Linked DNA regions of Arabidopsis thaliana. The protein of the gene in region 1 interacts with the protein of each later gene in a pairwise test. Each region holds a gene or a part of one and is shown in the gene's direction. Other genes may lie near its edges.

Region 1 (5,842 bases):
CTGAGCTTACAACATATCTTAAAAAGTCTCCTGAAACATTATTCTTAAACAAAAGTCTTCCACTAGTAGCATATTGTTCTCTAGATAGATAGATACTTTATTAAGAAGATAAAAAACATCTTCTTGCTTAATCCATGGATAGGCGTGGGACACAAAAATCAACAAGGTAATCTGTTCGCTTTATGCCCGTGTGTGTGCCATCCGGAGAGTATAACTGAAACCACCTGCTCATAGCCACTTTCAGAAATATGAACTTCTTGTACCATACCTTCACAGTTCCAATAGACTTCCCTTGGATCTTCTCGACTCCAACGATGATGGCATCTCTAAGTCCGACATAGCTGGCTGGCTCACCTGACGTGCCACAGTAAATGCCCTACCACACAAAAACACAAATATTATAGATCAAATGTCTCTCTCTCTCTCGTTTTATATTGAATCTTAACTAACAGTTATAGCACTTGCGTCTTGTTGAAGTTCAATGTGTGGCTTGAACACATGCAATTTTGCTCCTACTGGTTGATCCACCACCATGTCACATGCTTCCTCAATAGTCTGAGGCTCAATCACTTGTCCTTTCATCGAAACGAGATCAGGTTTATACGATGATGGGGGCGTTATCACAGATCCCAAGCGTGGCCAATCTTCTGCTTTCGGTATGCCGCCTTTGTTTAAGGCAAACTCAAGACAGTCTTTGACAGTGAGCTTGCGCCCACTGTGTGAGCCAGCAGCATTGTCCACCACATACTTAGCAGAGTACTCAGTATAGACACTATCCAGCTTAAGTGCAAACCGTGCAGAGCTTATCAGATCAAGCGCTACAACAGCAGCAGAAGCAGATTCATCTGCAAAGACAAAAACACAAATGGAAACATGAATCAAAATCTGAACGTAATTCGCATGTTACCAAGATAAGAATATGATTTGAAAACATGATAAAACGTACAATGACAAGACACGTTAAGGGTCTAACACACAATATCTGAGAGAATCTAAAACCTATCATAGCAAACAAGTTATCATAGCCAACAAGAACAAAACTTAAGACATTGGTGTAAGAATATGAGCAGAATCAACCTAATGGGTAAAGTTTTGGCTTGCACTAATATTCAGGCTAAAACTAAAGCAATGAGGCAAAGCATTGATTCAACAACATACTAGTTCTACAGCCACAATTCACTCACATCTTGCAAAGCAGAGTAGCTATGTACTTTTATGAGTATGTTCTAGAGTGGCAATTTTACCGTAATCTTGGTGTTTCGCAATCGTGCCAAGAGAGAATGCAAATTTGAAATTGGGATCATAGGGTGGGAGTGCCATCTGCAATTACTTAACCCTGAAAATTTCCAAGGTCAATAAAATACATTAATGAAATGTGAACAGAGAAAATGGAAAGAACATTAACTAAGAAGGGATCCAAAGTGAAGCGGTTTGAACAAAGAGTTTATTGTTCAGAGGCAAGTAAAAACAGATCGATGAGACGTTTGTGGCAAATTCGAGAACCAATGTGATAGCTTATATACTAAAGAATGAGCAAACTACAGTAAAGGAGGATTAAACTCTAAAACCTAACGAAGAAGCTCCTCACCGTTCACTAATCACACTAAAAATAAAAGGCAATGCACAAGCAAAACCCGTAACATACCAAAGCAAGAGCTAAACAAATCCCAACAACTTAGAACAAAGAACCCTAAAAAAGACGACATTTTTATCGAAGAAATAGCAAAAGAAGATATTTTAATGACAAAAAGAAATGTGGCTAGATCGAGAACCAATGTGATAGCTTCTTTACCAAATAATGAGAAAACTAAAGGAGGATGTATTAAACGCTAAAACCTAACTAAAAGCTCCTCATTGATCACTGAAAAAGCAAAATGCACAAGCAAAAATCCGTAACAAACCCTAATACGTGACTAAAAGCTCCTCATTTGTTCACTAATCACACACTGAAAGGCAAAAACCGTAACAAAGCAAAACAAAATCCTAACTTAGAGAAAAAAACCTAAAATGTAACACTAATCGCACTTACAAAGGGAAACTCACAAGCAGAGGAAGCAGAGTAGTAACGCAAAGGAAGCTAAAAGGAATCGGTAGAACATTGTAGTATTTATAGACAAGAGAATGGGTTAATCGAAAAAACCCTAGAGAGAGGACAGATGTCATCATCTTGCGTTGTCAAACGTATCGAGGGCTGCGAGAATCGCTACTTTCTCCGTACAAGCAACTTTCATCACCTCCTTGCTATGTTTTTGTTTCGTCGTTTTCTTCCAACTTTTTTGAAGATGACCGTTGTGCCTTAGATGACGTCGCTTTAGTATTGGTCTTCATCTTTACCTGGCCCAAGACCATTCACTTGCTTCCAAAAGTTTCCCTTATAGTCATACCAATGGAAGAGTCCGTGAAACCTATAGAACAAGACGTTGTCTATCACACAACAAAACAACTATAGTACACTTCATTACTTATATTAATATATAATCCTACCGGGTTCCATCTACCTTCTTTGGGATTGTAAACCACCGCAGACTTATCTGAGTCATAACCAAAGAGGTAGAATTTTCCACCAAGTCCCAAGCTTTTGTGTTCAGCTACACTTTCATTCCGTATCACCGCGCTAGGGCTAGTCACAGAGCTCCAAGTGTGAGTCTTTGGATCAAACCCTTAAACCCAGTCCACAGAATTGCGATCTTCACAACCTCCTGCTACATATATCTTCCCCTCAAGTAGACTTACAGTGGAGGAAGAGGAGCTCCGGTCCACCCGCATGCTTAAAGTTTGGTTCTATGTGTGAGACTTCCAATCCAAGACAGAGACTCTAGAAGAAGAAGGCACATCCCCGCCAATTTTGTACATCTTACAACGGTAACCATATGATTCGAGGAATGCGATTGTGGAGGAGGAGAAGTGGGAGATGGTTGGATTAGGATTGGGACGTAAATTTTGCCACTTGAATTATTCTTCTTCATTCGGTTAGGTATTTGGCAGAGAGTGTACCAACGAGGGTTAGATTAGTGTCAGGAGGGAACCGTAAGCACAAATAGAGACAGCTCTCGGCGTGGCCTAGGAGAGAGCGGGTCTTGTAAAGCTCCGGTGAAGTTACGAGAGATCGAAAGCTCTTGGAGACTAAGGAAAGATTAGGATAGTACAATCTAGAAGACGTGTGCAATGCAGCCCAATAGCAAATCATAGGGAAGTGCCAGTTGCGTTGTCGTCGTCATTTTCTATCATAGGGTTTGATCAAACTTTTGATTTCTTCTACTTCTTCTTGAGAGAGTTGTCTAGGGATCGATCAATTTAGATATAGTTATCATTTACCAAAATACCGTTCATTTAATCTTAATAGGCCTCAAAACCTAAATCTGAAAATTCTTAGGTTAGAAATAAAGAGCCTTGGCTCACACGGTACATTGATTGATCGAATAATGGTTCACAAGTTTTGTGATTGGGTCACCAGATCGATCCGGCCTCCGATTACATTATTAGTGATTTTCATATTTAACTTTTGTATTCATTACTTTTATATTTTAATTTTAGGAACATGCTTAATAAAGGTGGAGTTTTTTTAAATATTCAAAAAAAAAGGTGGAGTTTTTGCTGTCAAAATAATAATAATCTAATTTTAAGAAAACGACTTATGTCACATGTAGTTTATGTTAAGAAGATTTATATGATTAAAATGTATTTATCTAAAATATTAGCAAAATAAAATCCACTAAATATTAATTAAGTAATAATTAAATGAAAAAATATAAATATAGCATCATGATATTATAATTTTGTTTAAATACAATTATAACTAAAACAATAAATATTAAAGATGATACTATCTTTCTTCAAAACATGTCATTTTAGTATTCAATGCTAGATTTTCTTCTGGTAATATATATAGATTATAGGTAGAAGAGATATACAAGTACATGCAAACAATATAATACTAGGAGAAGAGAAAATATGTCTGAAGAAAAATTCCCAGAACGTCCAGGCGAACCAGAGTGCAGCTATTATCTTAGAACTGGAAACTGTTATCTGAAACAAAACTGCAAATACCATCACCCGAAGAATATAACGCCGAGCGAGCCTCAATGTACTCTCAATGACAAGGGCTTACCATTAAGACCTGGTCAAGCCATTTGCCCGCATTACAGTCGCTTCGGCATTTGCAGATCCGGTCCGACTTGTAAATTCGACCATTTTACCTAACCATCATCCTCAACTTGCAAATGATAAATTTGAAACTGATATTCCTTATCTCGTGTTTATTTTCAATAATATTCTAATATCTATGTTTTATTTACTCTTTATATGTATGAAAGGATGTTATTAATCTAAGGATCAAGTTAATCACCATGGTATCAAATTTTCATTTCATGTAACAAAATTGGATTTTTCTTTTCAAGTTTACCCAACAAACAAGGCTTTGTCGTCTCCAAATTTTGGACTAATGGTACATAGTGAAAGCCTTAAGAATCAACCCAAAGGAGGGTCTTACCTTATTTTAGGAGCTTTGTCCATACCAGGAGGTACAAAAAAAAAAGATCACAACAACAGACAATAGATGCCAAACTAGTTTACAAGTGCAATTTATGCAAATGATGAGACTAAATGCTAATCTTTACTTTAGCCGAGTGAATAATTTGAAGTGAAATGAACCTACCAAAAATTTAACAACCTCTCATATCATGATCTTGGGAGTGGACACTTTAGAATCTTCCTTGGCTGTGTCACCTGGAAGAAAGAACATAAAACCAGTTAGTGAACACACAGCTAATCTCCGAAAGGCGGCTTCTAATCATGTTCATATCTATTTCCCTTCATGTTACACTCTAAATCATATCGATTCTAACCCCATTTCTCTTTGAATTCAATACGTGCGTCAGGTTTTCTTTATCAACCCCACCAATCTAGCCTAGTTTGTACTTGCACAGATGTAAATTGATGTATCAAACAGTGATACCTAACCACACATTCTCAAACCAGTAAGCCCTCTTCTGTTGTTAAATCTAGGGAAAGTATTTGTTTGTTCTACAAGTGACATATAGACAAACATGACTACTCTAGTTTGTATAGATATGTAATAAACAAACATCTAAGAGAACAATTCTATACAGATAATTGCTGATACAAGCAAAAGAGAGGGCTGAGAGTAATCACCAGATTGATTGGTTGTGGTGGTAACTTCACCATAGATGGCCTTAAGCGTCGACAAAGGAACAACCGCGGCATTACCCGCAGAGGCAGCTTCAGCAAAGAGCTGCTGTTTCCACTCCCACATGGTGAGTTTCATTGCCTTATTAGACTTGAAGAGTGACTCCTTCTGCTCTGCTAAGGCCTCAACATACTTCTGCTGTTTATCAGATCTCAATCCCAAAACCACAAACGATACTCCTAGACACGTGTTTATCACAGCATTGTTGTTCATTGCTTCCGAGAGAAACATTGCAATCTTGTTCGCCATTCCTGTGTAGTCAAATCCATCAGTCAAAGGAATACATATTAGCAACTATCAACCAAAACCATGCACTGTGAGCACAACAAACTCAGGTAAAGCTGAATATGAACACAGAGATTGTTGTATCTAAGAACATTCAAACATTAGTTAAATGATGAAATCACCAAATTTTGTTGGAATCGATAACAAATGGTGTCATTTTGGCTACATACTCTATATTATGTGGAGATGGTGATGCTGATTTTACAATTAGAGATCAATCAGATCGATCAATAAGCTAAACAACGAATCCAGGAAACAAATAATGAAATTGAAGCAAGAAAAACAAGGAATCTGGGAGGCTAAATCGGAATGAGTAACGAAGTTTAAGAACGAAGAAAGGCTCACCCGAAA
Region 2 (9,113 bases), on another chromosome or scaffold:
TGAGAACTTGGGGGCATATTATGAATATCCCACAACAAATAAATAAGGGATGGTTTCTTATCTTCAACATCATTTTAATCCTCACCTCTAACTCAATATACATACACTCGCCTTTGGATGAAAAAGCAACATCACATGACAAAATCTTTCTACAACCCTTATCACTGCAAAATCTCGATCAGCCAGACAATTCTCACCACTTGGGTTTCAAGCCTTACACATCCATGTTGTTTTAATAAAATTCCAAACCATCCCCATTATTTTTGTAACTAGGGCTCCCCCATGAAGTTATTTTTGTGCAATATACTAACATTTAAGAAAAAAAACCTAGAAAATTGAAATGATACAATTATTATGAATTTACTAAAATTAGAGTCGCAAATCTAAGCGCGCATTACATCTATAGAGGCAGATAATGAAAAATATATGTAATTTTTTTTTGGGTTATATACTATTTTATGTTCAGCCAAGAAGGTGAAAAAGGAGCGATTGCTTAAAAATGTTTTCGTGTGGTTACCCGTGATGCAATGTAAAAAGAAAAAAGAAAAAAAAAAGAAGAGAAGAGAAGAACTAATAATTACGTGCACTTTAATTTACTGTAATACTTTATTGGAGTGCCTTGGTTCTTTTTCAATTTTTGTGGTCCATCTTAGCCAAAAGAGGAAATACTTTTATATAATATAAAATATTGTAACGCAAAGTATTGCTTAGTATTCGAAACACATTTTTTCAAATGATTTACGTCCCATTATTTCCCATGCAAACGGAAATATCCTCTAATGATTATTTCAAACACGATTATTACAGTACAGTCGAAATTACTTTCCCGGTTTAATCATATTCTGGCATATCTTATAACATATTTTTTGCAAAGGTATTCGCTTTTGTTTTTGTGACAAATTATTTATTAGGTTTTTAAATTATTACAAATAACTCTCACAGACGTATGTAATCCAACACATAAAATATATGGTTGATAAGAATTCACATCAATTTTGATTAATTTAGGGACTATAAATATGTTATATACAATAATTAATCTATGCATCTTTTTTAATCATTGTGATTGTTCTAGTTATAATAAAATATGGTTGATCACAATTCACAACAATTTTGATTAATTTATGGACTATAAATTTGTTAACATAATTAATCTAGGCATCTTTTTAAATCTTTGTGATTTCTCTAATTATATAATATGAACTGCAGAATTTGATTGTTCTCAATGTATAATCTTACGGGTCATACCATACCATCCATGCTTTGAGTTAGGGATGTCAAAATAGGTCAAAATTCATGGGTCAACTCAACTCAACTCAACCCATGAACCCTAATGAGTTGAAAATTTTGACTCAAATGAGTTGATGAGTCAAATGGGTTAATGAGTCAATTGGTTTGATGAGTAAAATGAGTTGGGTTGTAATGGTTAATGGTTTCAATGGTTTACCCAATTAACCCATCAAATTTTATAAAATTGAATTAAACCAACTAAAATCTCTAAACCAATGCCAATTTAAGTTTAACCAACACATCTAAACAAATTTAATAAAATTAATATTTTTCCAAATTTCTTAAATATACAAGCGATGAAATTGAGAAAAAATAAATTCGTAATTTTTCCACCAAAAAACATAAACCCGTGATTTTCTCGCCAAAAACGTAAACCCGTGATTTTCCCGCCAAAAACGTAAACCCTTAATTTTCCCGCCAAAAACGTAAACCCGTAATTTTCCCACCAAAAACGTAAACCCGTGATTTTCCCGCCAAAAATGTAAACCCGTGATTTTCCCGCCAAAAACGTAAACCCGTGATTTTCCCGCCAAAAACGTAAACCCGAGATTTTCCCGCCAAAAACGTAAATCCGTTATTTTTTCGCCCAAAACGTAAACCCATGATTTTTCCGTCAAAAACGTAAATCCGTGATTTTCCCGCCAAAAACGTAAATCCGAGATTTTTTCGCCGAAAAGCTTAAACCCGAAATTTTCCAGCCAAAAACGTAAACCCATCATTTTCCGGCCAAAAACGTAAAAAACTATAATTTTCCTGTCAAAACGTAAATCCGTGATTTTCCGTACCTAAAACGTAAACCTGTAAAAAATAAAATCCGTAAATATCTTAAGTTTGATGATAATGAATTAATAATGATAATTATTTATTATTGTTTTATAATAATAATTAATTAAATTATTACTTAAATGGGTTAACATCTCAAACCATTAAATTAAATGAGTTATAGGTTGACCCAACACATTTAACAAAATGAGTTGGGTCAACCCATAACTCATTTATTCTTAAACTCATTTGATTATAAGTTGAGTAGAGTTGGGTTATCCATTTTGATATCCCTACTTTTAGTACTATAGCTACAAGCCTACAACTATGGAGATTAGTGTGAATGTATGATTGTCGAATAAAAATAGAGTGACTAAATATTTTAAGCGTAAAAAGGTATTTATTCCAGCAAAAGAAAAGAAGAAAAACGACAAAAAGAAGACTTAAAAGTTGTAGAAATGTCAGTACGTATGTGAAAGACTGAGACACAGAACACTTTGTACAAGAACCAGTTCCAGTGTCACCGGTTACAGCCGGTCGCCTTCTCTTGATTCCCCAAAGCCTCTCCCACCAAACCCGGGACTTTTCACTTTTCATCAGTATTTTTTTTTGTTAAAGATTTTCATCAGTATTTTATATATATATATATATTATAAAGATCGAATTTGTTTGCATGATGAGGAAAGTATATCGAGTTACTATGTATCCATCGTTTGAAATACCCGTTTTAAAAAAAAATAATGAGATTTATTTTTAGGACTTCAGTATATATACGATTAACTTTTAACAGTTGTGTGACTAAAACGAAATGTAACAAAAATAAGAGAAAACTACAAAACAGGTAGTGAAAAATGACAAAAAAATTGTAGGACGCTAAGACGAAAAAATGATTCAAGAAAGAATATGTCTTTTCAATTTCAGTTTTACGAAATCGTGTAATAACGTAAATACTAAATCACGATTTCACAGAACCATATAAAATACTAAAATCCCACGCAATCATTAAACTTAATTCACCATTCTACGGATGACCTATGAGAGAGCATTGAATTGGCTTTAGTAACAAACACCAAAAAGATGAATCTTGACCAAATTTGTAATGCTCATACTAAATTCCTCCAAGTCTTATAAACATTAGATATTTTATATTTTAGGTTTTCAAAATATGTCATATAAAGAAAAATTTGATATACATATTGATCGTGCTTCAAAAAGACACCAAAAGAGCTTCTCTCTCTCTTAACCTCTCGTTTCGCCATTATCTCTTACACTGTTACTCTCTCTCTCTCTTCTTCTTCTTCTTCTTCTTCTGCATCTCATCGACATCATCCTTTCCCATGGCTGATGCATACGAGCCTTATCATGTTCTTCAACAAAGCCGGCGAGACAAACTTCGTATTCCATCTCTCGATTCCCACTTCCACTTTCACCCTCCTCCTCCTCCTTCCTCCGGCGGCGGAGGTGGCGTCTTTCCTCTCGCTGATTCCGATTTCCTCGCAGCCGGTGGCTTTCACTCCAACAACAACAACAACCACATATCTAACCCTAGCTACAGTAATTTCATGGGATTTCTCGGTGGCCCTTCTTCTTCTTCATCCACCGCAGTCGCCGTCGCCGGAGATCATTCCTTTAACGCCGGACTTTCTTCCGGAGACGTTCTTGTCTTCAAACCCGAGCCTCTATCTCTATCTTTGTCCTCTCACCCTAGACTCGCTTACGATCTAGTCGTTCCCGGTGTTGTTAACTCCGGATTCTGTAGATCTGCCGGTGAAGCCAACGCCGCCGCCGTCACCATCGCGTCTAGAAGCTCTGGTCCTCTCGGACCTTTCACGGGCTACGCGTCGATTCTTAAAGGATCAAGGTTCTTGAAACCAGCACAGATGCTTCTTGATGAGTTTTGTAATGTGGGTCGTGGGATTTACACCGACAAAGTCATCGACGACGATGATTCTTCTCTGCTTTTTGATCCGACGGTTGAGAATCTCTGCGGTGTTTCTGATGGCGGCGGAGGAGATAATGGAAAGAAAAAATCAAAACTCATCTCCATGCTCGACGAGGTATACAATAACATGATCAATTCTAATCTCTTTAAATTATTGAAATCTGTAAATTTTCTTTAATTATTGTCTATACTTTCTTACAAGTATGTGAATTATTGTGTTAAATGTTCACAGTTTTTGGTCGGTGTCCTTTGGAATTGGAGACAAAATGTGTTAAATGATATGTCTCTTAAAAAGATCTTCCTTGGAAAATGAAACTCCTTCAAAGCCATTTTAAAATTATATGATATTTTATTTAATTCATTATAATACCATATGTTAATTAAATTAATGTTCCCTACGTTTTGCATGAATAGATGATGTTATAGCGTCCATTTTAATACATTATATAAATTACAAGCTTGCCATCTTCATGCTGATTTTTAATAGAATTTTAAGGTTATACTAAAGTAAGGATAATATTATCTTGAGGAAGTAACTTTATATAGAGCTTCCTTAGCTCTTGATCTGAATTTGTGAATTAGATTCTTCAAATCTTAGGGGTATAAACATTAAGTGATAAAAAGAGAACGTCTTCTTTATGAAAGGAATATATGCATTATATGATCTTAAAGCTAGGGACTTAAAGATTTTAATTAGTTTATTCCGAGGTATATAACATACTTTTTGAGTGAGGAAATAATGTATAAATTTATAATCACCCATTTTATTATGTAAGTGGGGGAATCTAAAAACATTTCCATGTGACGTTTTGAAGGTTTACAAGAGGTATAAGCAATACTATGAGCAGCTACAAGCTGTGATGGGATCATTCGAATGCGTTGCAGGTCTCGGGCACGCTGCTCCGTACGCTAACTTAGCCTTGAAAGCATTGTCTAAGCATTTCAAGTGTTTGAAGAATGCTATAACGGACCAGCTTCAATTCAGCCACAACAACAAGATCCAACAACAACAACAATGTGGTCATCCGATGAACTCTGAGAATAAGACTGATTCTTTAAGATTTGGAGGAAGTGATAGTTCTAGAGGCTTATGTTCTGCTGGTCAAAGACATGGATTTCCTGATCATCATGCTCCTGTTTGGAGACCGCACCGTGGCCTACCCGAACGTGCTGTTACTGTTCTAAGGGCTTGGCTCTTCGATCATTTCTTGCATCCGTAAGTAACCCTTCTCGCCATATAAATGCTTTTGAAAGTTGTTGGATTCGAGTTTGAACTTGGTTCCAACAATTGATTAAACTAAATGCAAACGTTTAATTGATCATGAACCAAATTGTATATATATGCTTGTGAACAATAGCTTTATATGTGTGTGTCAGTGTGAATAAATATGTGTGTATCGAAGTGTATTTTTACTTGGAAGTATGTTTTAGATGGGACATGTCGACTGCTTGTTTGTTTCCCAAACTTGGAGATGTCGTGTTGCAAGCGTAATTATGTGTCTATATATATGTGTATGTTAGTATATACAATGATATATTAAATTGTTGTTGTCTGTGTCTTTTGTTGCAGTTATCCAACAGATACAGACAAACTCATGCTGGCTAAGCAGACAGGTCTCTCCAGAAATCAGGTTTCACTTCTGATATCTTCAGTCTTCTTCTTTTTTCTCTTTCCATCTTTTCTTGTTCACAATTTAACAAATTTCTTGCTAATTAAGCATGCACATAGTCACATAGATAAATATATGCTTTTATGAAATGAGTTTCTGTTGTCGGACAATAATTATATGTTTTAAATCTTTTCACATATATCATTAGTATAGTAACTATGTTATAATTTGGTTTATTAGGTTTGAATAAGTGTTACACTTTTGTTTTTGAAAATTTATCCGTTGGTGATAATGAATAATTTAGGGATTTTCTATCGCTTGAGGGTTATTAATTTATTATGGTAAAATGTTATTTTAGGTATCGAATTGGTTCATAAACGCAAGAGTTAGGGTTTGGAAGCCGATGGTGGAAGAGATTCACATGCTGGAGACTCGACAATCTCAGAGATCTTCTTCTTCCTCTTGGAGAGACGAACGTACTAGCACCACCGTCTTCCCTGACAACAGCAACAACAACCCATCTTCGTCCTCGGCACAGCAAAGACCTAACAACTCATCTCCGCCTAGACGGGCACGAAACGACGACGTTCATGGCACAAACAACAACAACAGCTATGTAAACAGTGGGAGCGGCGGCGGTAGTGCGGTTGGTTTCTCGTATGGAATTGGGTCGTCGAATGTGCCGGTGATGAATAGCAGCACAAACGGAGGAGTGTCTTTGACGTTAGGGCTTCATCATCAGATTGGGTTACCGGAGCCTTTTCCGATGACAACTGCTCAGAGGTTTGGGCTTGATGGTGGTAGTGGCGATGGTGGTGGTGGGTATGAAGGGCAAAATCGTCAGTTTGGGAGAGATTTTATTGGTGGTAGTAATCATCAGTTTCTACATGATTTTGTAGGTTGAGATTATTTGTGTGGAAAGGAAAAAATATGTTTGACGTTTGGGTATGTATAAGAAGATATGGGGGAATTGAAATGCATATGATGTGTATATTAGAATGTTTCTTCTTCTTTTTTTGTTGTTTGCTTACTTTCACAAATGTTATCTTTTTAAGAAATGAAATTGGATTCAATAACCAATGTTAAAAACATGGGTTAGACTTTAGAGTTGTCTATGTCTTGGTGAAATATAAAAGGCATCTATCATTGTTTTAATATTTTGGCATGATTCAAAACATGGTGCTTTTTTTTTTTTTATGTATGTCACAATTATCGTTGAAGAACGCGATTAAGATGTTTATCATTGATCGTTGATATTATATTTTGAACTATCTTGTTTTACTTGATAGTAAACATTGACTAAACAACATGTTTTCAAACCCTAAACCTTGAAATATTTCAGACTATTTGAGTTATCTTTTTGAGTCGGATGCAGTTTTGACTCCGATCCGCTCAACATTGTTGAATTCTTCTACTCATAAAAGAAGTTTGAGCCGATTTCAAACACACAAAACAAATGAGTTCGGTTTAATGTTCAGTGTGTACTAATACGTTGGCTTTTGAAGATCACATGAGAGCAAAAGTATTGAAAATAAAATTGTGCTTTTGTTGCTTCAAATAACTTTCCATTTGCTTTTGGAAAACAAGAAAGATATATATATATATATATATATATATATATACATAACCTTTCCCTCTCATGGGAAAAAAGTAAATCTTTTTCTTTGTAGAATTTATTCTCCGATCCTAACCATTTCTCAGCCTTTTTGTTTGTTTACACCATTTTTGTTTATATTCTTGGATTATGTCTATATAGAATAAGATGTAAACATAAACTGTATTAGCAAATATGTTTTGAATTATATGAAATTCAATAATTGAGAAGAGGTTCATGTAATGAGCCGAGAGAAGAATATAAAAGCAGTCAAATAATTTTTTCAAAAAACTATTTGTATATTAAAAAGGTACAAAGTAAAAAATAAATTTAAGAAGGTGCCATCATTGGCTCCTAAAGAACAAACTACAAAGAATCAATTTCTCATGATTTGATCTCTCACAATCCGTCTCCTTTATGTGGATGCGGAAAAACACTCTCCACACGTTTCATGTAAAAATTTTAGTTAAATTTCTAAAAACAATAGAGATACTATTCGATTTGTTCTTGAATTATTCATGAATACATATAGTGGCAACCTTAGACACTAGCCACGTCAACCGTACATGTTATATCATATATTTTTATATTGGTCTATCTATATGCTGAACTAGAGTCTAGAGATAAATATGAGAACATATAAGAAACCATGGACAACTAAAGATATTGTCTTTCTGTGTGAGTATTTGTTCCAGAAGCATTAAACCTTCGGAATAAGTATAATTCTTTTGCACCATTACTATTTTTATAAGCTTCACCAGCTCTATATATATTCTCACCATTAACATAAAACAACAACAACACGAAGAAGAAGATGAAGGTACTTGATGATGAACGGGTAATCTGCATCCTGAGGTTTAAAACCAATTAAGCATATACATATGCGAATGTATAGTTTTTAATCCTCGGGATACAGTTTACCTCTTCCTTACTCAAGAAAACACTTAGCTTTAACGGTTTTGGAGAAAGAAGAAGCATCGAATTAAATCCATTTGAAACAGGTTAGTTATCTTAGTGAAGAATATATCCATCAATCATAATTTGGTCTAGTCATTCGAAGTGGGATATGATTTGATACATATAGTCTAAAATATGATTTTATGCCAGTAATATTTTGTTTTCCCTGTCCCCTACCTATATCTAGAGCTTGAGATCCTCCTTTTAAAACTTTTAGATGATTAATCGTTTTACAAATCATAGTCCCAGACTTTCGTTCCAATCTAGATCGGTTTAGATGCGTTTTGTTTTGGAATTTATACAACGAAAACCAAAGTTTAGATTAAAAGATTCGAAAACCGGATTACATAAAATCTGGTCCAGGACCCCTTTGGTTAACGAAAACCAGACTAAAGGGCAGAAACGTCATTTGACAAAAAGAAGGATGATTCTCTCCTTCCTCTTTCCCCAATGCAAAGAAAAAGCATTATAGACTTTTCAAGTTTTCCGATATAAGCACGAAATCGCTGTTTCTCTCTTCGACGAAGCTTTGATAATTTGATCTCAATCGATCGATTCTATTGAGAATTTGTGTACCTGTTTTCTTATAAGGTTAACTAAGGATTGTGGAATCAGAAGTGTTGTGTTTTTGTGATCGGAGATTATGGATTGGGGAAACGTAACGGTTGATGATCTCTTCGATGCTCTCCGAGAAGTTGACTGGTCGTCTCCGCCGCGTCCTCCGTCTGAGTTCTTCTCAAGGTTCACCGTTCCTAAATCTGTCCCTAAATGGGATAGTCGCCTCAAGTGCAATCTCTACTAGTACGATCTCTCTCTCTCTTTCTTGTTCGCCAATTTCATATCTATTCGGATCTGATGTTGTGATCAATCTCTCGTTGAGAATTACCAATCAAATTCGTCCCAATTGAACATAGAATTCTTAGACTTTGGTTAGAACACAGAGTCTTGATAGCTTAGT
Region 3 (7,330 bases), on another chromosome or scaffold:
ATTCCTCTTCTGTGTTTTGGTGTTCTACCTTTGTCTTCCTGCTTCTGTTTCCCCAGCCATCTCGGGTTTGAAGCAAAGACATAGAAATGGTTTCTTACTCGTCTTTCTCTGCTGAATAAACACAGCTAGTGTCAGTATTCATATTACTAATGGAAATGAGAAAAGGCTTCTTCTCATGATTTTGTTAAAAGTCGAAATCTTACCTTCTTTATAGTCAGCTTTTGATCTTGAGTTTTAGTGTTTCCCATCAAACAGCTACATCACAACAACAGTATACAATTAGGATAGGAACATCAACTCAAATACACATTGACTCAAGAAGAGATAACAAATCAGTCTTACCTCAAGAAACCGAATCTAGGACGAACTGGTTTTTCGCTTTTCGTCAACGAACTATGAGTTATCGGTTTTCCACTGCAAAATTACAACATAAAACAATCAGATGGAGGACAAATTCTAGACAAAACAATCAAAGCTGCTTTTGTTACCTTATTTTCAGTGAGAAAACAAGCTCCATTGCTTTGTCCGGAGTTTCAGAAGTTGCTGATTTCTCTATAGACAATCTAACCACCGATGAGTTCTTGGTTACGGATTTTCTCTCTTCTTCTTTCTCTCCAACGAAACAACTCTTCTTCACCAACTCTCCATCCTCAGAGTGATTATCTTTCTCTTTATCATCATGAATAACCTGCAAATCATCTTCTTGTTCCAAAACCGCAACATTTGTTCTTACTGGCTCATCATCTTTCTCAATACTCAACACCAACTCTTCACTACTACTCAAGACTAACTCAGTTTCATCACCCTCTTCTTCCTTAACCTCATCCTTAGTCAATGTCTCCAAAGTGTTAAGCAACACCGCAACACTTTCTGGTTCTTGTTTAGGGTCAGAATCAGATGATTGATCTGAAGCTTTTGCTTTCTTTGCTTCAGCTATTTTCTTGTAATGAGCTTCAAAGAAAGCTTTCTTCTGAGCAACAGATCCAGGCTGAGAGAACTTCTCAGCTTCATCGACATACTTCTTATGCGAAAAACTTGACCATTTCCCCCATTCAAGATTCTCTGTCATGAATCTACCAAATGAAACTGATTGACTAAGCGCATGCATCGTATTATCCTGCAACAATCCAACATATCAAAATCAGAATCTTACCAAAACTCAAAACCAAAGTTATAAACTTTCTGGTGAATCAAACTGTTTCCAATCAAACCCAATTCAGATACTTTGAGTAAAATCAACATCAAGATTCATATCTATCAAGCTAAACCCTAAAGTTTGAAACTTTACATTCAAAATCTCCCAGAAACCATCGAATTTTCCCAGGAATCATAGAGAGAATGAAACTAACCTCATGAGATTCATTACGAGAAGGAGGAGCTGCGAACGAATAGGAATGAAACAGAACAGCAGATTCAGCCATTGGCCACAAAACCTCAAAATCGAGAACTTCTTCGTTGGAATCTCAAAAGGAAATAAATAAAAATCGAAGCGTTTTAATGGGTTTTCTCACCGAAACGGCTATAAAAGAATTTTTTCGAATTTTAAAAACTTTTATTTGTCAGCCCTAAACACATGTTTTAGGAGACGATCTGAAGAACTTTGGTTGAGATCTGGGTCCCACGAAACAGATAAAACTCAGAATATCTTTTTAAATAAAGAAGATACTCAATTTTGAGTTTTTATTTGAAAATTTGATAGGAATTTGAGAAACTGAGAATAAATTATGTATCAAAGAAGTCTAACAAGAATGAATGATTCTGCTATAGTTGTTGATATGAAGTGGCTGAGAATTGCAACAAGAGAGAAAACGAATTTTTTCTGGTGATGAAATATTAAAATGTGAAATGCTTTTTGGGAAAAAAAACTCTGTAATTTAAACTGAATTCTGAGTAATTTTTTTTTTTAATTTTTAGATATATCAACGCGTTTAAAAACTATTTTAGTTGTTTTAACTAAAAAAAATGAATCTGATTTTCTATTAAAAAAAACTTTATATTAGTACTTATATGCTTACATTTGATTTTTTTTGGTTAAAAAAATGAATCTGATTTAGGGTGTGAATATTAGAGTCATTAGAAAGACTAAAGAAATAAAATTGTAGATAAGTTTGGAGAAAAGTAGCCAAAAAAGAAAGAAGAAGAAATAAATACGATTTATTAGGGAAAACTAATTAGTAAGTGATTAGCGTTGGTTTATGTAACGGTAGGTGTACTTTTGTAACTCCAAATAAAACAGCTTTGAGTTACAAAAGTGATGTTGTTAGAATGAATACATTACACTTCAACCCATCACAAAAGCAACTACTTTTCTTCCTTTGCATCCAACAATTATTTAATCATATAGCTGAAAATATTGATTGCTTCTCTCCCATAAAAATAAACAAAAATGTATATTAACTCTTTTAGCGTTTTACTTTAAAACTTTTTTTGGTCAAACAAAAGATTTTATCATCGCTTTTATATCTCATAAACAAAATGTATTAGATTATTTGTCATCGTTGAAACTTTAATTCTTTCTCCTTCTTTAGAGATTAACCAAAACCAAGTTGAAGTTTTGGTTCGTTTTTTTTAATTCATATTTCTAAATTTCAAAGATTTTATTCATTATAGAATTAAAAAAAAAATTGACAAAGTAATAGTGAAAATTTCAGAGTAAAGCCTTAAATAATTATTTAAAAATCCAACATTTGGTGGCCTTTCAAAATATTTAGAAGTTTTGGAAAAGGGTATAGTCCATTATTCAAAAAAAGATTAAAAAATCAATTGAAGAGAAAATAGTTTAAAGCATTTAAAGGTTTGAATGAATTCTAACCAAATGTGTACAAAAAAAATTCATTATTGTATCTTCATATTTTTTAGTGAAATTAAATAACATTGGATTTTTTCCTTGAATACAAAAAACATCCAAATCCATTAAAGACTAATATTCAATAACACCACCTATAAATTCTTATGTTTTGAAAATAACCCCAAACTATTTTTCTTTCTTAACCCTTAAAGTTTCATTTTTCATATATTACACCAAAATTTGAAATCATCTTCTTTGATTGTTTTTGGTGTGAGCGAAGATGGGAAGATCGAATTCTCAATGCCCATCTCATTGGATTCTCCTCTGCTTCTTCATCTCTTCTCAGTTTTGGGGATTCTCACTTCCCACTTCGATAATTCAACAAAATCTCGAGGTGAAATTTTTAGGGTTTTTCAGCAATTTCAACTGTAAATTTCGTGTAGAAGAATGTCTGTATCACTTTAGGGTTTGTAATCGATTTGGCTTACTTGGGATTTACTTAGAATTCTAGATTTTGTTCAAATTTTGAAGCTTTGTGGTTGTTGTTCTACAGGGTTTTAAAGATCCTGAAGACGGTTTTCATGAGATTCATTGTTCAAGAGAACGTAGCAGAGTTGCTTGGAAAATCATTCAAGAGGTATGAATTGAAAGCAGTGGTTTTTATTATTTTTTATGCAAATCTGTAGAGTTTTCTCATTGATCTTTGTTGTTGCTGTGAAGTATCTCATGCCGTATGTGGAAAAGGAGCGGTATCAGTTACCGAGTACTTGTAGAGTTCATCGAGACAATGACATTTATAGAGAACAAGAAGAGCACAAATTGCGTTCAGATATTAATGAGTGGCGTTGTGGATTCTGCAAAAAGGCTTTTTATGAAGAGAAGTATCTCGATAAGCATTTCGATTCGCGCCATTACAATTTACTTAATGCGGTATATACTGATGCATTATTGTTAAAATGATCCATCTTTCTGTGACAATTCATACTGTTTTGGGGTCTATTAGCGATTCATAACTTATGTGCTTTTGAATCCAGAGTCATGGTAAATGTCTGTCGGATCTTTGTGGAGCGTTGCATTGTGATCTTGTTGTAGACACAGCTCGGCTTAAGTCCAAGTGTAATCCTGCAGCTGCTGCAAAAAACCGGCACTTATGTGAGGTACATATTTTTTTAGTTTTGATTCGGTCAATATCATATGACAAGTTTGGACTCTAATACTCAAAGAAACCTTGTAGCTTCTGAGAATTGCAAAGAACATTTCACTGAAAGATTTGAACACTTCTGAACATATTGTCTTCGTTCTGTTTCTTGTGTTCCCGTGCTTATCTGCTCTGGTGTGGTTGCATTGCAGAGTTTGGCTAATAGTTGTTTTCCGGTAAATAAAGGTTCATCAGCCAACCGTCTTCACGGTATTAGAACCTTCCTGAATTTTACTATCTTATTTCAACAGTTTTTGCTTGTATTGATCCATAAAGATTCACCACTACTTTTGGGGTTTAAACTTTACAATTGTAGACTTCTTCGTGGGGGGTTTTAATGATCCATAGAGATTCACCACCCTTTTTTGGGGGTTTTAACTTTTAAAACTGCAGATTTCTTCTTGCGTCAGTTCTGCGATGCACATACATGTTCAGGAGGATCAAAGCCCTTATCTCAAAAACCAAAGGTAACATAATAAACCCTTTTTTTGTAAATGATATTATATCATATCATATCTCATTTAATCTCAGTCATATGTTTTGCAGAAGAGGAGTATAGTGTACATTATTTTCTCCATCATCGTTTTGGTAGTGCTTCTTCTCTATTACAGCTTTGTCTATTTGTTCCGAAGGTAACAACAACATTAAAATACTGTTTCAGATTTCCTTACAACTCTAAAACCGAAAAAGGCCCTCATGAACTCATTGTTCTTACGTTTTACTAATCTGTAGAGGATTAAAGAGAAGATCTCAAGATTTGAAGCGTATTAGACACAATGGTCTGAAGAAGAAACCCTTCTAACCATATCAAGCTTTAGCTTTAATGGCGGCTGAGAGAGAGTACATTTTTTTTCTTTGCAAGATGATTACAATTAGGATCAGATTAGTGCATTTTGCAACATCCCTTACAATTATATCACTACTTACACCAATATTGTTACTTAGAATTCAATAGTGTTTACTGCAACTAGAGCGGTACAATCGCATTTAACATTTCTAAAACATTTCAAAGGTTCAACTTAATTTCATTTTTCATATTTGTTAGTATCATTCTTAATTATTTGGTTTAGACTTTTGAGTCTTGATCAACCATGATTATCTCGATCATTTTATCAATTGGGCCGTTTGATGAAAGGCCTTTTGGGCCAAATTACAAAACAGATATCTTTGGAAGAACCAAAACGACAACGTGGGATAGACGTTAGAGATGACGTGAAGAAAAAAAAGGAGATAAGTGGAACCTACTTTTTCCCAGTATAAGTCCAATATCACTCAAAGTCAGGACACTAATCGAATCATAGCCTCGTCTCTTTCAATCTCAACTTCAACGATAAACAAAAAAACAAAGTGGATAAATTCAAAGCACTTAAAATAGGTAAATAAATAATGACGTGAAATATAACAAGCAAGGTATCCTAACTTTTCTTTTGCTTTTTTTCTTCTTTTGGGCAAATCTCATACATGTTCCTGCATATTTTAAACACTCTTCGAATGTTTTATCGAAAAATTAAAAACATTCTTAATTAGGATGAAAATTACTACGACAGATCACACTATACGGTACTATAACGTGGATAATTACTACATAGTATTGTATTATTGAGCTTGTATAAGTATTTGTGACAATAATACCAAAGAGTTTTAGATATTTTATTGGTTTTTCTAAGGAAATACAGATAGATAAACCTGTCGAACCGGTTGATTTAGCACAATAAGCGGTCATGAAACGTCTTCTACATCAAAGTTCGTAAATTTCCATGAAACGTCTTTGAGCACCGAGGAAGAAAGTTTAAAATTCCTAAAGAAACACACAAATTAAAAAAGGCAAAACCTAAACCCCATATTTATTTGTCTTTTTTTCTTTATCAGAGAATTTTAAAAAGGTAAAAATAGATTATATTCTATTCCTTCAGAAAATTTTTATCGTCCTAAAATCTTCGTAGCCTGCAACAAAGAAAGACTAAGAAAGAACTAAAATATTTTGCTTCGTCTAATTACTTTTTTCCTTTGGATTTAATTCTCAGCCATCGCCGCCGTTTTCGGCGGTGTAAAAAATGAAGAACCGTAGGAAACGCGGTGGTTTAAGCAGTGTCGACGTCGTTGTTTCATGGAGAAGATTTTTCCGATTTGTTTCTTTGTTCGTCTTCTCCTTCGTTCTCTTCTCTGCTTTCTTCATCTTCTTAGGTATTAATCCAACAATTAATCACAACCGTTTTAATTTATTTATTATTACTTAATACTAATTAATATTTGTATAAATCAGGCAAAATTCGACCGGTGGTGCGGTCTTCGGTCAACGCAGTTCTTCGTGGTTCTGTACCGGTGGTTAAGGTGATCACGATCCATGAAGCAGTTGAGTTTCCCGACCAAACATTGATTTTCCTAAAATACCCTCCATCTTCTCGGTTTTTTACGAAAGAGGACCTCTTTTGCGTTTTCTCCGACGTAAACGATTCGTCTAAACTTTTTAAAGAGCTTCCTTTCGCGGTGGAAACCGACGACTATGGCCGTCAGATCGTACGGTGTTCCGCCGTGCCTCGTGGCAATACTGTATCCCTCGCCGTTTCGAGATGGAGGGTTGATGATTATAATCTCCAAGTAGGGCTCACACACCGATGGGATTGGCTGGTGTACGACGCCGTGATCGACGACGACAATTCCACGGTGGTTTTTGTCAAGGGGCTTAATCTACGGCCAGGAAAGGTTGCTGACGCGTCGAGATATGAGTGTGTATACGGTTGGGATTTCACAAAGCCCAAACTTTTGCTTAGAGCACAAGCTATCTCTGCGGCCCAAGAGATCGTACGTTGTAAAACGCCACTGACAGTATTAGACGGCCCAAGAAGGGCCCAATCTCAACCGGTGAAAGTTTCTGTGAGGATCAAAGGAAGTGGGATGCTTCCTTCTGTAGCTCATCCAATTAAACGTCCGGGTCGGATCAAAGTCTCGAAAACGTTTGAAACGTGTGTTTGCACCATGACGCGAAACGCAGCAAACGTTTTACGAGAATGGGTGATGTATCACGCCGGAATCGGCGTTCAACGGTGGTTCATCTACGACAACAACAGCGACGACGACATTGTTTCCGAGATCAAGAATCTAGAAAATCGCGGTTACAACATCTCGAGACATTTTTGGCCGTGGATCAAAACTCAGGAAGCAGGATTCGCAAATTGCGCGATTCGAGCAAAGAGCGATTGCGATTGGGTCGCGTTTATCGACGTCGACGAGTTCTTCTACATCCCCTCTGGTCAAACTCTAACCAACGTAATCAGAAATCACACGACAACACCATCATCGTCCGGCGAGATCGGTGAAATTCGAACGCCGTGTCACAGTTTTGG
Region 4 (8,007 bases), on another chromosome or scaffold:
CTCCATAGGCGTATGTTCAGCAGCTGGAGAATAGTCGATTAAAGCTGACTCAACTTGAGCAGGAGCTGCAAAGAGCAAGACAGCAGGTTTATTAACTTTCTTATTTGTTTTGATTCTGATATGTATGTCTTTATAAAGAAGATAAAAGGCTGAAGCTACTTCAACTTATAACTAACAGTCAGTTACGAGTTAGTACTAGTCTTGGGTTAGCTGAAGTAGAGGAGGTAACAGAATTATGGGTCATCCATAGTTTAGTTGGGTAAAAGTAGCTGGTAACTCTCTCGAAATAGGTCCTTCTGGTCTGTTTATTCGGATGTTGATGGCATACAGAGAATTTCTATTCTGGTTCTTATCAGATTCTTTGTCATGACTCATGACAGTGTATTTGTCACTTAAGGATATATATTTTTCAATTTTAGGGAGTTTTCATCTCAAGTTCAGGAGACCAAGCTCATTCTACTGGTGGCAATGGTGGGTTGTTTCTTCTCTGTTAGTTTTGAGATTGATCCTTTTGATTTGAAATTTCTATGTGAGATAAGTGCATATATACATATATGTTGATGAATTGGTGATAGCATAAGTCATCTCATGGCAATATGCTTACACTTGTTAGAGTTAATGGTTTCAAGAGTCAGTGATGATCTGGATGGGAAATTAAAGTCATGGTGATGTCAAAACTGAAGTTTCTTATAGTTTGCGCTGGTGTTAGCTTAGGTCTGCAAGGGTTTGTTCTTGATCTAGTATACTTGCCTTTCTGCAGGGGCTTTGGCATTTGATGCAGAACACTCACGATGGCTTGAAGAAAAGAACAGGCAAATGAACGAGCTGAGATCTGCCCTGAATGCTCATGCAGGTGATACTGAGCTCCGGATAATTGTGGATGGAGTGATGGCTCACTATGAGGAGCTTTTCAGGATTAAGAGCAATGCAGCTAAGAATGATGTCTTCCACTTGTTATCTGGAATGTGGAAAACACCAGCTGAGCGATGTTTCTTGTGGCTTGGCGGGTTCCGCTCATCCGAACTTCTCAAGGTAAGCTCTTTCCAAGTCCATAGAGAGATTTTGATGAACAGCCAACTTAATGAGTCGCAGTGTTTTCACAACAGCTTCTTGCGAATCAGCTAGAGCCCATGACAGAACGACAGGTAATGGGCATCAATAGCTTGCAGCAGACGTCGCAGCAGGCAGAAGATGCTTTATCTCAAGGGATGGAGAGTTTACAGCAATCCCTAGCTGATACTTTATCCAGTGGAACTCTTGGTTCCAGTTCATCGGATAATGTCGCGAGCTACATGGGTCAGATGGCCATGGCAATGGGGCAGTTAGGCACCCTCGAAGGATTCATACGCCAGGTACTTTAGAAATGTGGATGTTATCGAGATATACCATATCTTTTCATCGTCACAAAGAGATAAATATTTTATTTTATATATGAATCCGTCTGTTATGGAGTTCATAGGGCATTTCTTGGTGGCAGGCTGATAACTTGAGGCTGCAAACACTACAACAGATGCTTCGAGTATTAACAACACGTCAGTCAGCTCGTGCTCTTCTTGCTATACACGATTATTCATCTCGATTACGTGCTCTTAGTTCCTTGTGGCTTGCCCGGCCAAGAGAGTGAAACAGAAGAATAGTGCTCTACTCAGCAGTCAGCCCTATACATAATCTTATGACTCAGATCGGCAGGGATACTCCTTCCAAGAGATCGATCACAAAGCAAGGCATTCTCAGATTCTTACCAAAAGCAATATTTTGGGAAAGAAGACTGCAGGTTTTGAAATTGGTTTCCTGAGGTCCGCAAGACTCGAGTGTTGTGTGTGTTGTAATTTTTAGCCATCAGGTTGCATAGTTTTATAGAGTGAATGTTTATAGGTCTTTGAATATTCAAAGCGGATAGGTGATCAGTGTAAGGTCGCAATTACCAACATGACAGAAGATGGGATCCTTTCAGGAACTTGGATTGTATGATCATAAACTCCAGCAGACCAAATCAATTTATATTGAGAGTTCAAAAAAGAGAGCAGATTGTGTATCTTGAAATCATAGCAAGATTGCCCAGTAAACACTGTCACACATAAAGCTTACAGAGGTTTGGCTAATACTATGTATAACCAACCTGAGTCAGAGAAAATACTCATACAAATGAAAAGATCTAATTATTTCCAGGAAGAAGACTTCTTCCAAATGTCGAGAATACAATACTGGCAAGACATATGCAAACTTGAGCAAGAACTGAAGCAGCATAAACAGTACAGCTTATGTGAAACTCGAAAAGTAAACATCACCAGTTCAAAAGTAGTTGCTGGTGTAGAAATTCTTGAGAAAATCAGTCTTTCCTTGATCCTTGTTTCCAGTATTCTGCACGAGCCCTTCACCCACCACATATTGACCGATGATGTGGTGACGCTGCTTTGCGTGATCCACAATGTCAGTCAGCTCTTCCATTCCTTTGAATATAAGAAGATCAATTACCTGCAGAAGCAAGACCACCATCAGATTGCATTCTAAAATCACCTTAAAAGAGAACCAATCCGAGATCACTACACCCACACTCAAGGAGATGCTTTGAATTGATGGTTCAAAATACAAACAACTAACCATTCACCACATAAGCAAATCTTAACTTTGGTACCAAATGCCAACAATGCTGTCATACTACGAGAAAGAACACCATTTTGATATGAAGTATATAATTTTGTAGCAGGTTTACTGTATCGACGACAACAGACTCATCTATGAAAGAAAACAAATGCAAAGAAGAAAGGAACACAGCTTTAGCAGGATGTAACCGGTAAAGCTCCCACCTTTTCGCTCCAAGTAAATCTTCACCAAGCACCCAATTCACAAGACACTTTTTTGTTCATAAGATAAGACTACCAAGAAATTAAAAGTCTCCGCTCACATAAACTACTTGCACAAATTCTACACGATAGAAGGTGTAAGCTTTCAGCTTTCAACAACACTCAAACAAAGCTGACAATAAATCCAAGCCAAAAGTGGAATAGAAAGCAGATACGATCAGATTAACAAATATAAAACAGCTCATTGTTTGGTAGCCAACCAAGACGCATTAGCCAAACAAGGAAAATGCTTTCAATTTCGCCATCGCATAGGACCTGGGTCCGTATTAATCAGAGTTAAATTAAGGGAAAGTACCTTAGGATCGGTGATGTGAGCGTTATTCCGAATCTGAGCAGAGATAGCATAGCGGAGCTGAGAAGGAGCGACGACATCTTGAAGATTGTAAATGTCCATGATGGTGGGGATAGATCTACAGGCAGCTCTAAAGAAATCGAAAACACGGCGGCGAGCTTCCGTCAGGTTCGCCGAGTTCGGAGGAACACCGATTTTCCTCAACGCGAATGGTGCCGCCATTTTGATCTACGAAATCGAAAAATTTCACCTTCCTGCCTGAGATTAAAAGAGAAATGAGTAGCCGAATAGAGAAACAAACATCTGACTATCTGATTGCTTCCAGAGTTATCTGACGACGTCGTTTCGAAGTGAGTGGCTAATGGGCTTTTTATGGGCCTAAGCTGATGTAGAGAATAGCCGTAATTATTTCCGGTTAGTTTCGGTTTACAAAAAAGGGTAAGAAGGTAATTGTTTTTCTATCCCGCCGGGGTGTCTCCGCTTTCTTAAACCTCTCTCTTAAGAACTTGGCGCCGTTATCTTTCTCATGGCGGCGACAATGGTGAAGCACGAGATTCTCAACTACAGCGAGGATGAAGAAGAAAATTACTCAGACGAAGGAGATTGGGGAGACTGGAAAGCTGATGATAATGGTATAGAAGGAGGAGAGGAGGAGGAGGAGGATGATGGTGACGACTCGGAATCTGATTTTCTGTGTTTGTTTTGTGATTCTCACTTCGTTTCCTGTGATTTACTCTTCGAACACTGTCGTCTAAGCCACGGATTCGACTTTCATGGAGTTAGAAAGGAATTGAAGCTCGATTTCTACTCTTCTTTTAAGCTCATCAACTATATTCGCTCACAGGTTTGTGTTTTTGCTTCCTTCGTTTTTGGTTTCTCTAATTTTATTGTTTTTGTTTAAATTTGGTTCCTTTAATGAATTAGGTGGCTGAGAACATGTGTTTCAGTTGGAAGATTGAAGCTGATGATTACAAAGATGTTAAGTTTCCTTGGGATGAAGAGAAGTATCTGAAGCCTTTTTGGCAGGAGGATTCACTTTTGTACTCGTTTGCAGATGATGAGGAAGATGAAGAAGTCACGTTTGACAGAGAGGAAGTGATGGAGGAATTGCAGAAGCTTGGGGATTTAAGCATTGATGTCGAGGCTTTAGGGGAAAGCTCAATGTCGAACAGTGATAAATGCAATATAAATGGAAGTAAGGATGTAACTTCGCTCTCAAACTGCAATGGCCTAAAGCAAAGTTCTGCGGATGATTTGATAGTCAATGGGAAAGATGCAGAACCAAAGGTTTGTGATGGAAGGCTAGTTAATAGGAACATCAGAAAGGTGAATGAGAACTATTTTGGATCTTATAGTTCGTTTGGCATTCACAGGGAGATGCTAAGTGATAAGGTAATGCACTAATCTTTTCTGGAATTGTGTCATAATTAACTAACCTGCACTTGCACCATATGAAGAAAGACTATCAGCTGTCAGGTTTATTCAATGTGTCTGATGTCTGTAACAGGTTAGAACAGAAGCATACCGAGATGCACTTTTGAAGAATCCTACTCTCTTGAATGGCTCTGTTGTAATGGATGTTGGTTGTGGAACTGGGATATTGAGGTGAGTTTGCAGTTATCTTTCTCACTCTATATTGGCCATCTCATTTAGGTTTCTTCTCATTCTCTAAACGAAGCTTTAAACATGTGGTTCTATTTGCTTCTTTTATTTCATATTCTGAAGGCTTCCTTGAATTTCTCTTGCCTATATGCAGATCCTTTGATTGTTTAAGTCAAACTTTTGGTACTTCTTATTTTTAGTTTGCATGCAATAACCATTTATCCTTTGTCTGCAGTCTTTTTGCTGCTAAAGCTGGGGCTTCAAGGGTAGTTGCAGTTGAAGCTAGTGAGAAGATGGCCAAAGTTGCAACTAAGGTTACCTTTTTTTCTACTTGTTACAAGATTTTCATTATTTCTTTTTTCCTCATAGATATCAATTATTTACCTGGTTTCTAGCAGATTGCGAAGGATAACAAAGTATTCAATGATAACGAGCATAATGGGGTACTTGAAGTTGCACACTCAATGGTAGAAGAGCTAGATAAATCGATACAGATTCAGCCTCATAGTGTTGATGTGTTAGTCAGCGAATGGATGGGATACTGCCTTTTATATGAGTCAATGCTCAGTTCTGTGCTCTATGCAAGAGATCGGTGGTTGAAACCTGGAGGTGCAATCCTCCCTGACACGGCCACTATGGTAAAGCTTATCTTTTGCCCTTCAAATGTTGTCTTTTTCATGAAATCATCTTGATGAGTTTTATCCCTTGTTTTCTCCTTGGATCAGTTTGTTGCGGGATTTGGAAAAGGTGCAACAAGTCTTCCTTTCTGGGAAGATGTCTATGGCTTTGACATGTCTTCAATTGGGAAGGAGATACATGACGACACTACTCGACTTCCCATTGTTGACGTTATAGCGGAGCGTGATTTAGTGACACAGCCTACCCTTCTTCAGGTTTGAAAGATCACACATTATTTGGTTTCGCCAGGAAAAACTTTGAAATTAATTTCCTTGAATTTCTTTGTTTCTAGACATTTGACCTGGCTACCATGAAACCGGATGAAGTAGATTTCACAGCAACGGCAACGCTGGAGCCCACTGAGTCAGAAGCAAAAACTAGGTTGTGCCATGGTGTTGTGTTGTGGTTTGACACAGGTTTCACCAGTAGGTTCTGTAAGGAAAACCCAACCGTACTATCCACATCACCCTACACTCCCCCAACACACTGGGCTCAGACAATCTTAACTTTTCAAGAACCAATCTCAGTGGCACCGGCCTCGGTTCTGTCTGGTAATGACAGAAGAGAAGCCATCGGAACCGAAGAGTGTCCCGCCTCAAGCATTCATCTGCGTGTGAGTGTTGCACGAGCACATGAGCATCGCAGCATAGACATCTCGTTAGAGGCTACTGGGCTGAGCTCAAAGGGTCAGAAGCGTCACTGGCCGGTTCAGATATTTAATCTATGAATGTGATTGTAGCCATTGTAACACTCTTTTCTGGCAAATTTGCTGAGGATTTTTTCATAAGTTGCAAGGTTGTTTTAAATTTAACCTATTGAGAAAGTTTTGAGAAATATGCTGGAGTAGTAAGTTATTCTGAAATCGACATAAAGTGTTGTTTTGCGGCGTAAATTTATAGAGAGCTAAAAAGGTAAGACAGACAATTGTTCAGACAATTTGTTGGTTATAGTTAATTGCTTAACTGTACTGTATATGTTCCAAGTTAAGTAAATGTCACAAATTGTTTTTTTTTAAAGTGGAAAATAAATTTAGTAGATGGGACACCGAACACAGTTAGAAAGAGTGAACAAGAAAAAGACATTTATTAATGCTTATTAAGACTGACTTAACTAAGATAAAAAAAGAAAAAAGAAACAATAAAGGGATCCATCCGCTCATAGCCTGAGGTGATCACTATAAACTAGAAAGCTAAACATAAAAGCAAACTCTGCAACATAAGGATTTACAGATGCTATAACTGAAGAGAAGTTGGTGTAGCAAGTAGAGAGAGATATCTATGAATCTGTTGGCTCGGTTTTAAGGGGTGCGGCACCACCTGAGGACGATGCATCGCTTCCATTTTGGTTTTGATTTTGGTTTTGGAGGTTAAGGCTATTTGCTACCATGGAATCGCTGACCATCCCTGCTTCTGCGTCAAAGTTTAGCGTCCTCTTGCGGTTGCTGCTGCTGCTGTGACACCAGATGAAATTGGATTGGGTCAGTGATTGGTTTTATGGAAGAAGCTGATGAGAGACGTGATTTTTCTACTTACTTGTTCAAGCGGTTGTTGATGGCAGATAGGTCCTTTGAAGGGCTCTGGTAAGCATGTGTACTCTCTCCAACACAAGCATAGTAACTCTTTGTACTGTGTGAAATAAGAGCATCCATCTGCAAACACACAACACATGGAAGGTAACCAAACAATCTTGTCACCTACCTCCTCCTCAAGACTTAGTCATATCATGATAAAGAGTTAAGCACTATGATCTTCTTTACCTTTGATCCCCGAAGAGGAGAAACATAAACATTGTGCACTGCAGATACTTTTTTAGGGGACATGTCTGGAACACTTGGAAACACAGACACCTTTGGCGATCCGGGACATTGACCTGTGAATCCAAAATAAGACGATCATTTAACTTAGGGACTAAATTGATAGACAAAGCTTACATCTAACAAGTATCTGGCCTTTCTTAACTACCTTCAGGCTTATTATTGGCTTCCACAGCCCGGTCGTTTCTTACAGGACCTAGCTCCACCAGCAGCGGCTTTACGGCAGGAATAAATATTTCATTGTAGAATGTGATGATGTCAACATGATCTGGCCCTATTCTCTGTTCAAGTCATTGTCACAAATTTAGTCTTCTCCACCGAGTAAAGAAACTTTTCAGCATAAGGTTAAGAGTGTATATATACCCCTTGACGGCGACATTGTAACGCATCCACATAAACGCTGCGGAAAACTAATGGTTTACACTGTGGTTGCTTCCGGTAGTTGTATATGATTTCCCTGAAAGTCAGGCTCATTTGGGATATCTACAAGGTGATTCATGGAAAAAGTGTAAGTGTAAGAGAAGCCATTGTAAACCAGATGACATATAGTTAAACCCTTTGAATCACACTACTCACCTTGGCCACTCCGTAGAAGCAACAGAGAATGATCTGGTCAATGTGTCGACTGAATAAAAGAGAAGTCCGCTGAGCAAGTACATGTTGGAAGAAACAATACACACTCTCCCTTATTTGCTGTGAAAGTTGTAGTCTTTCCACCATTCCATTGATTCTTACAGCAGCCAATTTATTAATCTGGG

The links.
Region 2: the proteins of AT1G48195 (region 1) and RPL interact in a two-hybrid assay, tested with the Arabidopsis thaliana proteins (one large-scale study listed by BioGRID).
Region 3: the proteins of AT1G48195 (region 1) and AT5G40710 interact in a two-hybrid assay, tested with the Arabidopsis thaliana proteins (one large-scale study listed by BioGRID).
Region 4: the proteins of AT1G48195 (region 1) and PRMT3 interact in a two-hybrid assay, tested with the Arabidopsis thaliana proteins (one large-scale study listed by BioGRID).

The regions. Positions count from the first base shown.
Region 1 is NC_003070.9:17,792,398-17,798,239, forward strand, and holds AT1G48195 (Zinc finger C-x8-C-x5-C-x3-H type family protein), read left to right. Parts: upstream 1-3,937; 5' UTR 3,938-3,951; coding exon 3,952-4,200; 3' UTR 4,201-4,387; downstream 4,388-5,842. Other genes in the region: AT1G48180 (target of trans acting-siR480/255 protein), read right to left, coding at 128-376, 451-845, 1,245-1,320; AT1G48190 (Galactose oxidase/kelch repeat superfamily protein), read right to left, coding at 2,163-2,224, 2,335-2,424, 2,499-2,660, 2,697-2,766; AT1G48200 (uncharacterized protein), read right to left, coding at 4,673-4,725, 5,152-5,455.
Region 2 is NC_003076.8:392,365-401,477, forward strand, and holds RPL (POX (plant homeobox) family protein), read left to right. Parts: upstream 1-3,202; 5' UTR 3,203-3,389; coding exon 3,390-4,109; intron 4,110-4,809; coding exon 4,810-5,210; intron 5,211-5,564; coding exon 5,565-5,625; intron 5,626-5,962; coding exon 5,963-6,508; 3' UTR 6,509-6,761; downstream 6,762-9,113. Other genes in the region: PRA1.A1 (prenylated RAB acceptor 1.A1), read left to right, coding at 8,799-8,956.
Region 3 is NC_003076.8:16,292,023-16,299,352, forward strand, and holds AT5G40710 (zinc finger (C2H2 type) family protein), read left to right. Parts: upstream 1-2,944; 5' UTR 2,945-3,068; coding exon 3,069-3,182; intron 3,183-3,341; coding exon 3,342-3,425; intron 3,426-3,508; coding exon 3,509-3,718; intron 3,719-3,822; coding exon 3,823-3,945; intron 3,946-4,138; coding exon 4,139-4,196; coding exon of another isoform or gene 4,197-4,324; exon of another isoform or gene 4,325-4,379; coding exon 4,380-4,453; intron 4,454-4,532; coding exon 4,533-4,618; intron 4,619-4,718; coding exon 4,719-4,788; 3' UTR 4,789-5,022; downstream 5,023-7,330. Other genes in the region: AT5G40700 (transcriptional regulator ATRX-like protein), read right to left, coding at 25-111, 204-255, 343-414, 489-1,117, 1,350-1,421; AT5G40720 (C3H4 type zinc finger protein (DUF23)), read left to right, coding at 6,041-6,170, 6,250-7,330.
Region 4 is NC_003074.8:3,906,960-3,914,966, forward strand, and holds PRMT3 (protein arginine methyltransferase 3), read left to right. Parts: upstream 1-3,521; 5' UTR 3,522-3,682; coding exon 3,683-4,000; intron 4,001-4,080; coding exon 4,081-4,548; intron 4,549-4,663; coding exon 4,664-4,761; intron 4,762-4,993; coding exon 4,994-5,072; intron 5,073-5,156; coding exon 5,157-5,396; intron 5,397-5,483; coding exon 5,484-5,651; intron 5,652-5,728; coding exon 5,729-6,163; 3' UTR 6,164-6,417; downstream 6,418-8,007. Other genes in the region: TGA6 (TGACG motif-binding factor 6), read left to right, coding at 9-86, 420-471, 761-1,032, 1,107-1,352, 1,478-1,624; AT3G12260 (LYR family of Fe/S cluster biogenesis protein), read right to left, coding at 2,293-2,475, 3,160-3,378; RBR1 (retinoblastoma-related 1), read right to left, coding at 6,712-6,886, 6,969-7,084, 7,193-7,305, 7,398-7,530, 7,613-7,732, 7,826-8,002. UniProt on the Arabidopsis thaliana protein: Protein-arginine N-methyltransferase that catalyzes both the monomethylation and asymmetric dimethylation of the guanidino nitrogens of arginine residues in target proteins, and therefore falls into the group of type I methyltransferases.